Nothobranchius furzeri: one gene and its partner. The protein of the gene in region 2 interacts with the protein of the main gene of each other region in a pairwise test. Links are inferred from orthologs where the notes say so. Each region holds a gene or a part of one and is shown on either strand. Other genes may lie near its edges.

Region 1 (3,981 bases), on a different chromosome or scaffold from region 2:
TAGTTTATTGATTAATCGTTTTGTACATAAATAGTACAAAACTGCAATTTTACTGTTCTTTGGTTTAAAGGGGAACACAAAAAATCTAATTATTCATCATCAATTATCTTTCACATTTTGATCATGTAACCATACCCACATAATTTGTATATTTATTTCATTGATCACTGCTTTCAAACTGGAATATTTATTTATTCATATATATTTTTTTAGATTTGTGGAGATTTCCATTCGTTTGTGTGTGTAGATAAAAAAATAATTAATGGATTATAGTAAAAAGAAAAAGAATCATACCACAATATTTCCCTGGGTTAGCATTGTGGTTTTAATTTAAAGAATAGGGATGTAAGAAAATGTTTGTATGATATACATATAAATGTTGTGTCCAAATCTAAAATAGGAGATAGAGTGAAATGACACTATAAAGTATTTTAAAAAGATGATAATGAATAAATATTTCAAAGCAATTTATCAAAATTGCATGCAAACATTTACTGTTTTGTGTTATGTAGTTCAAACTCCAACAGCTAGGTGGCAGCAGTTTTACCACCTTCACTCTGATGACAAGACCTTGCGGTAACACCGGGATAAAACGTGTCTGAAGTGTCTGAGCCAGTGTTTCCCAATCATCTAGTCTTGAAAATTGCAAATATTGTTTGTTTATTTAGCATCGCAATATATCGTATCCCCCCATTGTTAGAAATAGTCTATAACTAGATTCTTGCCAGTACAACTCTCTGTTAAATAGGAGAAAAAAATAACGATTTATTACATTTCAGATTTAAAACTACTCGCTTATAAATGAACACAGTTTTGCTTTTTATCTCAGTCCAGTACAAATTTAAAATAATTTTAGTCAACAAATTTATTTTTATATGACAGGACCATTATTTAAACCATAATGATGAAAATGGGTTAAATTAGTGAGTATAAGAGTAAAAAAAATAAAGATCTTTTTCAGAAATAAATCTCTCAGCTGCTGTATGCCATTAAAGAGCTTCTTCTTAAATGTTGCTTTAAATGTAACTCGGAATTCCTGGTTTTAGTTTCTCACAAACGTCATAGATATTCAGATGCCATCATTTAAAACGCTTTTAAGTTCTTAATAATGAAAATGAAGAATAGTTTTAGTATTTTAATACAAACAGTGTTAGTTCACGCGGTTTTATCCTACAGTCACTGGGTTGTTAGTCAACTTTACGGGCAGCACTTAAACGCACCATCCGTTTTTCAGCCGGTGTTTTTATTTATTTACGCCCGTCCGTTCCCGTACGGTTGCCTCCATGCTCCAGGGACGAAAACCCTTACGTGCAGGTAAATTACACCAATATAGGTGCTTTTATTTTCCTCTGATTTTCGTTTAATTTCAGGTTTTTGGCTTAAATTGGCTTATCGGTCAAAGCGAAGAGCCTCTTCAGAGCTTTAGTATGGATCGAAAACATATTGACAGCTAATTAGGCGTGTATTTGTAATCATGTGTGGATTTCTCAGCCTTTTTGTGATGAATTATTAATTTGCTAGCGGCCGCCTGGGTAAAATGACAGCTGTCTGCCATCTGTAACGTGGCCATTTGTTTTAAAGGGAGACTCACTAAAACACAATAGGCTGTTTGGAAATGACTGTGCGGAAAGCTTGCGTTTGTCTGCAGTCAAGCTTAAATGCTAACCTTATTAGGTGTCATAATTAATTTTTAGCTGATAATTAATCTGTCACTCATTTCAACTCTAATTTGAAGCAGTCGCTGTCAAACTGCAGATATTTTTTAATTGATTTCAGTTATATGATTTATAACCAATCAATAAATCAATCCCTGTCCATGTTTACATTTATTTTGAAAAGAAGAGTAAAGAGACATGTTGTCAATTGCTCAGAATAGTCAGGTGTATCTAAATACCATGTGTTGTTGCATGCATTTGTCTTGAATACAGGAATACCATGACCCTGACCAGAGGATCTTTCACTTATGCCAGCGGGGAGGAATACCATGGCGAGTGGAAAGAAGGCAAGATGGTTCTGTTCCACAGCTCCGATCCAAACGGAGACATCTGTCTGTGTTGCTCCATGCACGTCAGAGAGGTTTTGTCAGAGTTACAGGATGTGGTGACTGAGAAACGTCTCTTCAGTGTTTGTTAGATTCCTGCCTGCTCCTATCTGAACTGCTCGTTCTTTACATTTACTCCTGATTCTTGGAAATTCAGTTTTCTTCAAATTATAAGTAACAAAATTGTCAGTGAGATGAAAAATGTATTGAAACTTAAAACTGCATAAGTGTGGGCTTAATTATCTATTTAGAATGGAAATATCTAAATGATATTACCTGTGTTACTCTCACATTTACCTGCAGGTGCATTGCAGTTAGCTGCTGCTGGTAACTTAATACGAGCAGAGCCAGATTTAACAGCTCTGCTTTTGTCTAATCCCTTTTGAGCCTGACTTTGGAGTTTGGAACTGTTTAGGAAAGTGTGGCCAGTCCTCAAGGAGCATTTCATTTAATTAAAATACAACAGCATCCTTTATGCTGTGTTTAAATGTGCATTGCAGTTCTAACTCTTCGTGTTTATTTTCCCCTCCCATTTCTCCTTTACCCAGTTTTTGTGTGTCGTGGTGCAGTTTGTTCACTTAAGGTTCAGGTTTAAAATAGAAATCACTGCAAACCTGCAGGATTAGACGGCCGTAATTCCCACTTGCACGGGAGACAGATGGGGCTCCTAGTTCAGTAGTAAATCTTTATCTCATTTGGTTGGAAGGAAGTATTTAAATCCAAGTGTCCAATTTCTTGACACCTGAAGTGGCTCTGCAAAAAAATATGTCATTGTCAGACTCAGAGGCATCACAGTTGAAGCTGGTTGCTCCCTTTATTGAGGCATTTGTATTTAAATGAAGTTAAAATGTGCTCTGATATGATATTCCAGGAATGTAATGGTAATATTCACTAAGATGTGATGCTTTCCAGGTCGGAGGCATGGCCTCGGCCAGCTCAAGTTTCAAGATGGAACCTGCTACACTGGCCAGTTTGAGAATGGACTCTTTCATGGATCTGGTGTGCTGCGTTTTACAGATGGGTCCCGGTTCGTGTGCAAAGAAAGGGTAAACATTTTTGCACTTTGTTAAAAGATGCAAACAACATCCTGGTTTATTTACACCACACTAGGTATGAAGGAGAATTTGCACATGGCAAGTTTCAAGGCACGGGAGTCTTCAGCCGATACGACGGCATGAAATTTGAGGGGGAATTCAAAGACGGGCGCGTTGAGGGATACGGTAAGTCTGTGACCCTCCCCGCTTGGAGCAGCACATCCATCAGAATGTCAGTTTCCTCCATGTGGTTGGTCATGGTAGGATGTGTCTGTACCTGCAGGGCTGTTGACTTTCCCAGACGGAACTCACGGCGCTCCACGGAATGAGGGCTTGTTTCAAAACCACAAGCTGCAGAGGAGGGAGAAGTGTGCAGGTGTGGTGCAGCGTGCGCAGGCTTCAGCTTCCAGTGCTCACAGCCTGGCGACCTGATCGCTTGGACTCTTGAGGGGATGTTAGCTGAGCACCTTCCAGAAGGGCCTTAAAGATGTAAACTCCTCCAGTGCTTCTTACACTTTTTATTGTTTAATATTTTAAAATTCTGCCTCTCCTTTGGTCCACCAAATGCATTTGAACCAAATAACAGCTTTCTGTGTGGATTATTAGAAAGGCACAACAATAAGAAGCACACAGTGAGCAGCAAATTAGGCTTTTATTGTGTAAATATATAAATTAGTGTTCTGGACCTTAAGACTTTAAAATAACAAAGGAGAGCTACTGTGCACCTTGGATTTAGAAGTTTTAAAATTAAATATTTAAAAAAGTTTTAGCCTGTGATTAGATACTTTTTCTGAAAAAAATAAAATAAATAAAACTTCGTAAAGCAGCTTAAAATTCTAGAAATAATTTAGGGATGCTCCGATCCAGTCACGTGATCGGAAATCGGGCCCAATCACATGGTTTTAA
Region 2 (4,112 bases):
AAGTTGAAATGGGTACACTAGAAACTACTGATCACAAAACCATTTCACCCAATATAAATTGATGGTGGCTCAGGGGTTAGTTCACCCGGTAACTGGTGGGTCATCATCAGTGTGAATGGGTGAATTATTGACTGCAGTGTAACGCACTTTTGGAGTCCCTGACTTAGAAAAGCACAGTACAAGTGCGATTTTTAACTGCATCAGCAAGAGAATCCCTCCATGCTGGAGTAACACTTGAAGTTCAAAACTAAAGCCCAGTTTTTACACACTGACCTTTGACCTCGGTGGGTGCTGGGGTGGTGTTTGTTGTGTGGGAGACAACTGAAGCCTCTATGCAGCTGTCGGCTACTTTCTGTCCTGCACACATTGCCTTCAGGGTCTGGAAGACCGCTTGGGGAGCCACGTTCATTTTCAGGAGGTCCACTATGATCCTACAGGAGGGCAGAAACGAATCCTTTACTCATTCGCCGCGTGAAGAACCACATTTCTACCGGTCTCGGTTCACTCACTTAAAGACTTCTTGATCCACAGTGATGCCTGCAGCCTGAGTCAGTTCAAACAGCTCACTTTCTTCAGCACTCAGGATTTTCTTCTTCTTTATGGCATATTTCTGCACGTTTGCTGTGACCACCAGAGCAGGGAAGTCAGGAGCAGATGGCCCCGTCTGCTGTGTTGGCTGAGACATATCAAGTCCACCTGAGTGGTGAGAAAATGGCATTTATGCGCGAACATAAAACGTTAGCCGCGCAGAATAAACATATGGCGAAATTCAACCGCTCACTGAAAGGTAAGTAAACATAAAAACAGGTTATAAACAACAAAAAATACGTTTTTAATCAAACATGTGTTTATACCGTTAAAGCCGCAGCTTTTAGCGTGTAGAATCCCGCTTATATCCACAACTCCTCTCTGTAAACACGGCGCGTAGAAAATGCGTCATCATCACGGAACGTTCACGCAGCATGATGGGACATGTAGTTAGAAGCCTGTGGTTTGTTCTCGATAAATGTATTGAACGAGTAAATAAACATTAAAGTTGAGCCAGTTAAGCAAAGCATTAGATTTATATAACAAATAAAAAAAGCTGAAGCTGCTTGGTGGTCGTTTCAACCACGGACTTATATGGTTTAAAGGGTAAAAAGTAAAGACAATTAAAAGAATGAAATTACAGAGTCCTCTGACTCTGAAAGGCGCTATACAAATGCGGGTCATTTATCGGTTGTTTATCACTATGCGATTTATTTAGTGAACGTGGGTTACAAAATTACTACAAAAAGTATACCAAAATTGACACCGCGGAAGTTGTTGAGGGATTATCCTCTCACGCATGCTCAGTTCTCTCGCTCGCCGTCGTCGAAGAATGGCCGCCGCTGCAGCAGGAATAAACAAGCAGGGCGCAGGAGCGACGATGGAGACCTGTCTCCGGCACGGGAGGGGAGCCAGTGGAAGCACCGTGAAGGTCGTAAACATGTCACAAATTTCCGCAGCTAGGTCGTTATTGCTGTGAACATATTATTTGGTTAGCTTTGGTGATAAATGTCCGCTGGTTCAGACTTGCTTGATGTATTTCTAGTTGGAAGCTAAGGCTGCTGCGTTGGCGTTGGTCGCAGTGGGTGCCAAATACGGATTTTGACAGTGTAATAGCTGTGCAAACGCGTTTCATCATGTTATTGTAGCCGTTTATGCATTCCAGAAGACTCGTTTGTCATTAAGAAGCGTTTGCTGCGAGCTAGCACCAGCTCGAAAACCGCCGGTTGGCATTAGCACAAGTTTCTGATCGCTGCAGCCTTATAAACAAAAACAAGCAATCAGCTAGTCAGTGCATTATAAGGGTGTACAGTAGCAGCTGTTGGAAGAATTAATTTTAGTTTACAGAATAAAATGTGGGCAAAGCGTCTCGTGATGTTTACCTTGGGAGTCACTATGTCAAAGTGACTGCAACACCCTGGGATTTTTTTATCTCATCACTATTTTTCAAGTACCTCTGCTTTTCTGCATCAAGTCAAACCTAAAGTTACAAATTAAAATTCCTTACAAGTGTGCGTGATCCTGAGTGTGGAAGTCACCTTGCAGCAGATACAGACAGACAGACACATAGACAGGCAGTGTTCAAGCTGTGCTGTCACTTGCAGGTGCTGGAGTGTGGTGTGTGTGAGGACGTCTTCTCCCTCCAAGGTGACAAGGTCCCCCGTCTTCTGCTCTGTGGCCACACCGTGTGCCACGACTGTCTCACCCGGTTGCCCCTCCACGGCAGAGCGGTCCGCTGCCCCTTTGACCGACAGGTCACCGAGCTGGGTGAGTGAAGGACATAACATAATTTGGCCTTCGAAGAAGGATGCAGATTTGCAACATTTGGTAGAATTTTATTGAACTGAACAAATTCTGAGGATGCCTGGGAAAATGACAAAAATATTTCTTCAATCACTAAAAACAAACAACTATTCATCTCAGAAGTAACATAACATCCAAGTGGTATTCCTGACTGAAATTATCTTGGAGTGGCAAAGCACAGAGAATACACAGTCATCATAAGATGCAGGGTGTACTTTACTGGTTCTTGGACGGCAGATGCAAATATGCTGTTAGGCTGCAGAGAAAAGAGCTCACAATCGAAAACAGTCTAATGTAGGGAAATAAAACATGAACACATTTCAGATCCAGACCTTCCTTCGTAGTAGGTTTGATTTGACTTTGTCCTAAAACTTTGTGTAGTCTTGCAGTATTTGTTTACATCAACATCTCCGTTATTTAAAGTCATGCATTGGTGCTGACACTGGAAAGTGAAACTCAATTCAGTTTATTTATAAAGCGTCAAATAACGACAAGTCGTCTTGGTGCACTTCACAAAGTAAAACATAGGGATGTCCCATTCCGATATCGGAGGTCATTCCATATCAGCCCAAAAACACTGTATCGGATTATATCGGATGGCATCAAAAGTCTCCTATAAAAGCGGTTCGTTAAGGTTCACATTTTTGCAACTGTAGCTGCCAGATGAGCAGCTGATGGCAATGACTCTTAATTGGCTCACAGATTTTATATAAGCCACACCCTTCCAGAGAAAATGGCTTGGGTTAAGTTGTTTGTAGAGAAGATAACACTTTTGAAGTGTTGAAATTATGTCTTTGGTCTAAATTCACCTCAGCTGCACAGTGCCGACTGCATCCCCACGTAAGTTTTGCTGTATTGACGCTTTTGTTTGGGTTATTACTTCGACACTCTATAGTCATTGTTTGTTATTCTTGTCCATCCCCACTCAAATCTACAGATAAAGCAGCTTTAAGGACTTATTGGTTTGTTTAGCATCCTTGGCCAGTGGAGCAAGGTAAATGTGAGAATATAATTCATTTCTGTTATGACATCGAAGTTGTGTTCACCTTTTATTTATGCTTTGTATATCTCTAAACAGTTTTCACAGTGCAACTCATGGAGTGAAGTCCAAGGCATTGGACCAGAGAAACGAATAAAAGTTTATGCACCCGTCGAGGCTCTCCGTTCTTTTCTTCATGGTGCCAGGGGCAGCTACAGCAACCAATGGTTACAAAAGAAATTTTTCATACTTATTGTTATTGGCTGTTGTTCTCCAGTTGAGTAATATCAGTTGATCAAGCCTTTCATACATTCCACATTAGGAAACGGGTAAAAGTATGATTTGTGCTGATATCGTATCAGATTGATATCTGTAACGGTCAACACTGAAGGCTGCAACATCGATATCGTATCGGAAGTGAAAAAGTCGTATTGGGACATCGCTAAAAATATCCAATTGACGTGCATGAGTTTTAGACCAATAATGAAATTCAGCAAGACAATAATTTTGTCCATTTAGCGTCTCTCCATGTGTGTGGAAATCATGACTGTACGGTGCTGGAAAATCTTGAAAACTCTGAAGGTGGTTGAATTGAATCTGGACAAAGGTGTAAATGTTCTCTGTTGCACTTGTAGATTTTTCCTTCAGTACCTTCTAAGCAGAGCTCCACTCGATTCAGCCCAGTTTCACTAGTAACGGGTACCAGGTCGCTGCTCCTTTATTTGTCTGCTTCAAAGTGGTTCCAAGTGTACCAAACTGGGACGAAAAACGCAACGTCAGAGGACTGCCAGTCACTGATTGG

What was found. The genes of interacting proteins can lie anywhere in the genome.
Region 1: the proteins of trim23 (region 2) and morn4 interact in binary tests that used the Homo sapiens proteins (3 or more experiments, as listed by UniProt). The two-hybrid records come from large-scale screens. The link is inferred for Nothobranchius furzeri from reciprocal best matches to the Homo sapiens genes TRIM23 and MORN4.

What each region holds. Positions count from the first base shown.
Region 1 is NC_091752.1:21,507,667-21,511,647, reverse strand, and holds morn4 (MORN repeat-containing protein 4), read left to right. Parts: upstream 1-1,181; 5' UTR 1,182-1,314; intron 1,315-1,928; 5' UTR 1,929-1,935; coding exon 1,936-2,002; intron 2,003-2,953; coding exon 2,954-3,068; intron 3,069-3,151; coding exon 3,152-3,261; intron 3,262-3,339; coding exon of another isoform or gene 3,340-3,358; coding exon 3,359-3,507; 3' UTR 3,508-3,660; downstream 3,661-3,981. UniProt on the Homo sapiens protein: Plays a role in promoting axonal degeneration following neuronal injury by toxic insult or trauma.
Region 2 is NC_091746.1:63,287,569-63,291,680, reverse strand, and holds the start of trim23 (E3 ubiquitin-protein ligase TRIM23), read left to right. Parts: upstream 1-1,312; 5' UTR 1,313-1,327; coding exon 1,328-1,459; intron 1,460-2,132; coding exon 2,133-2,295; intron 2,296-4,112. Other genes in the region: mzt2b (mitotic-spindle organizing protein 2), read right to left, coding at 274-431, 510-685.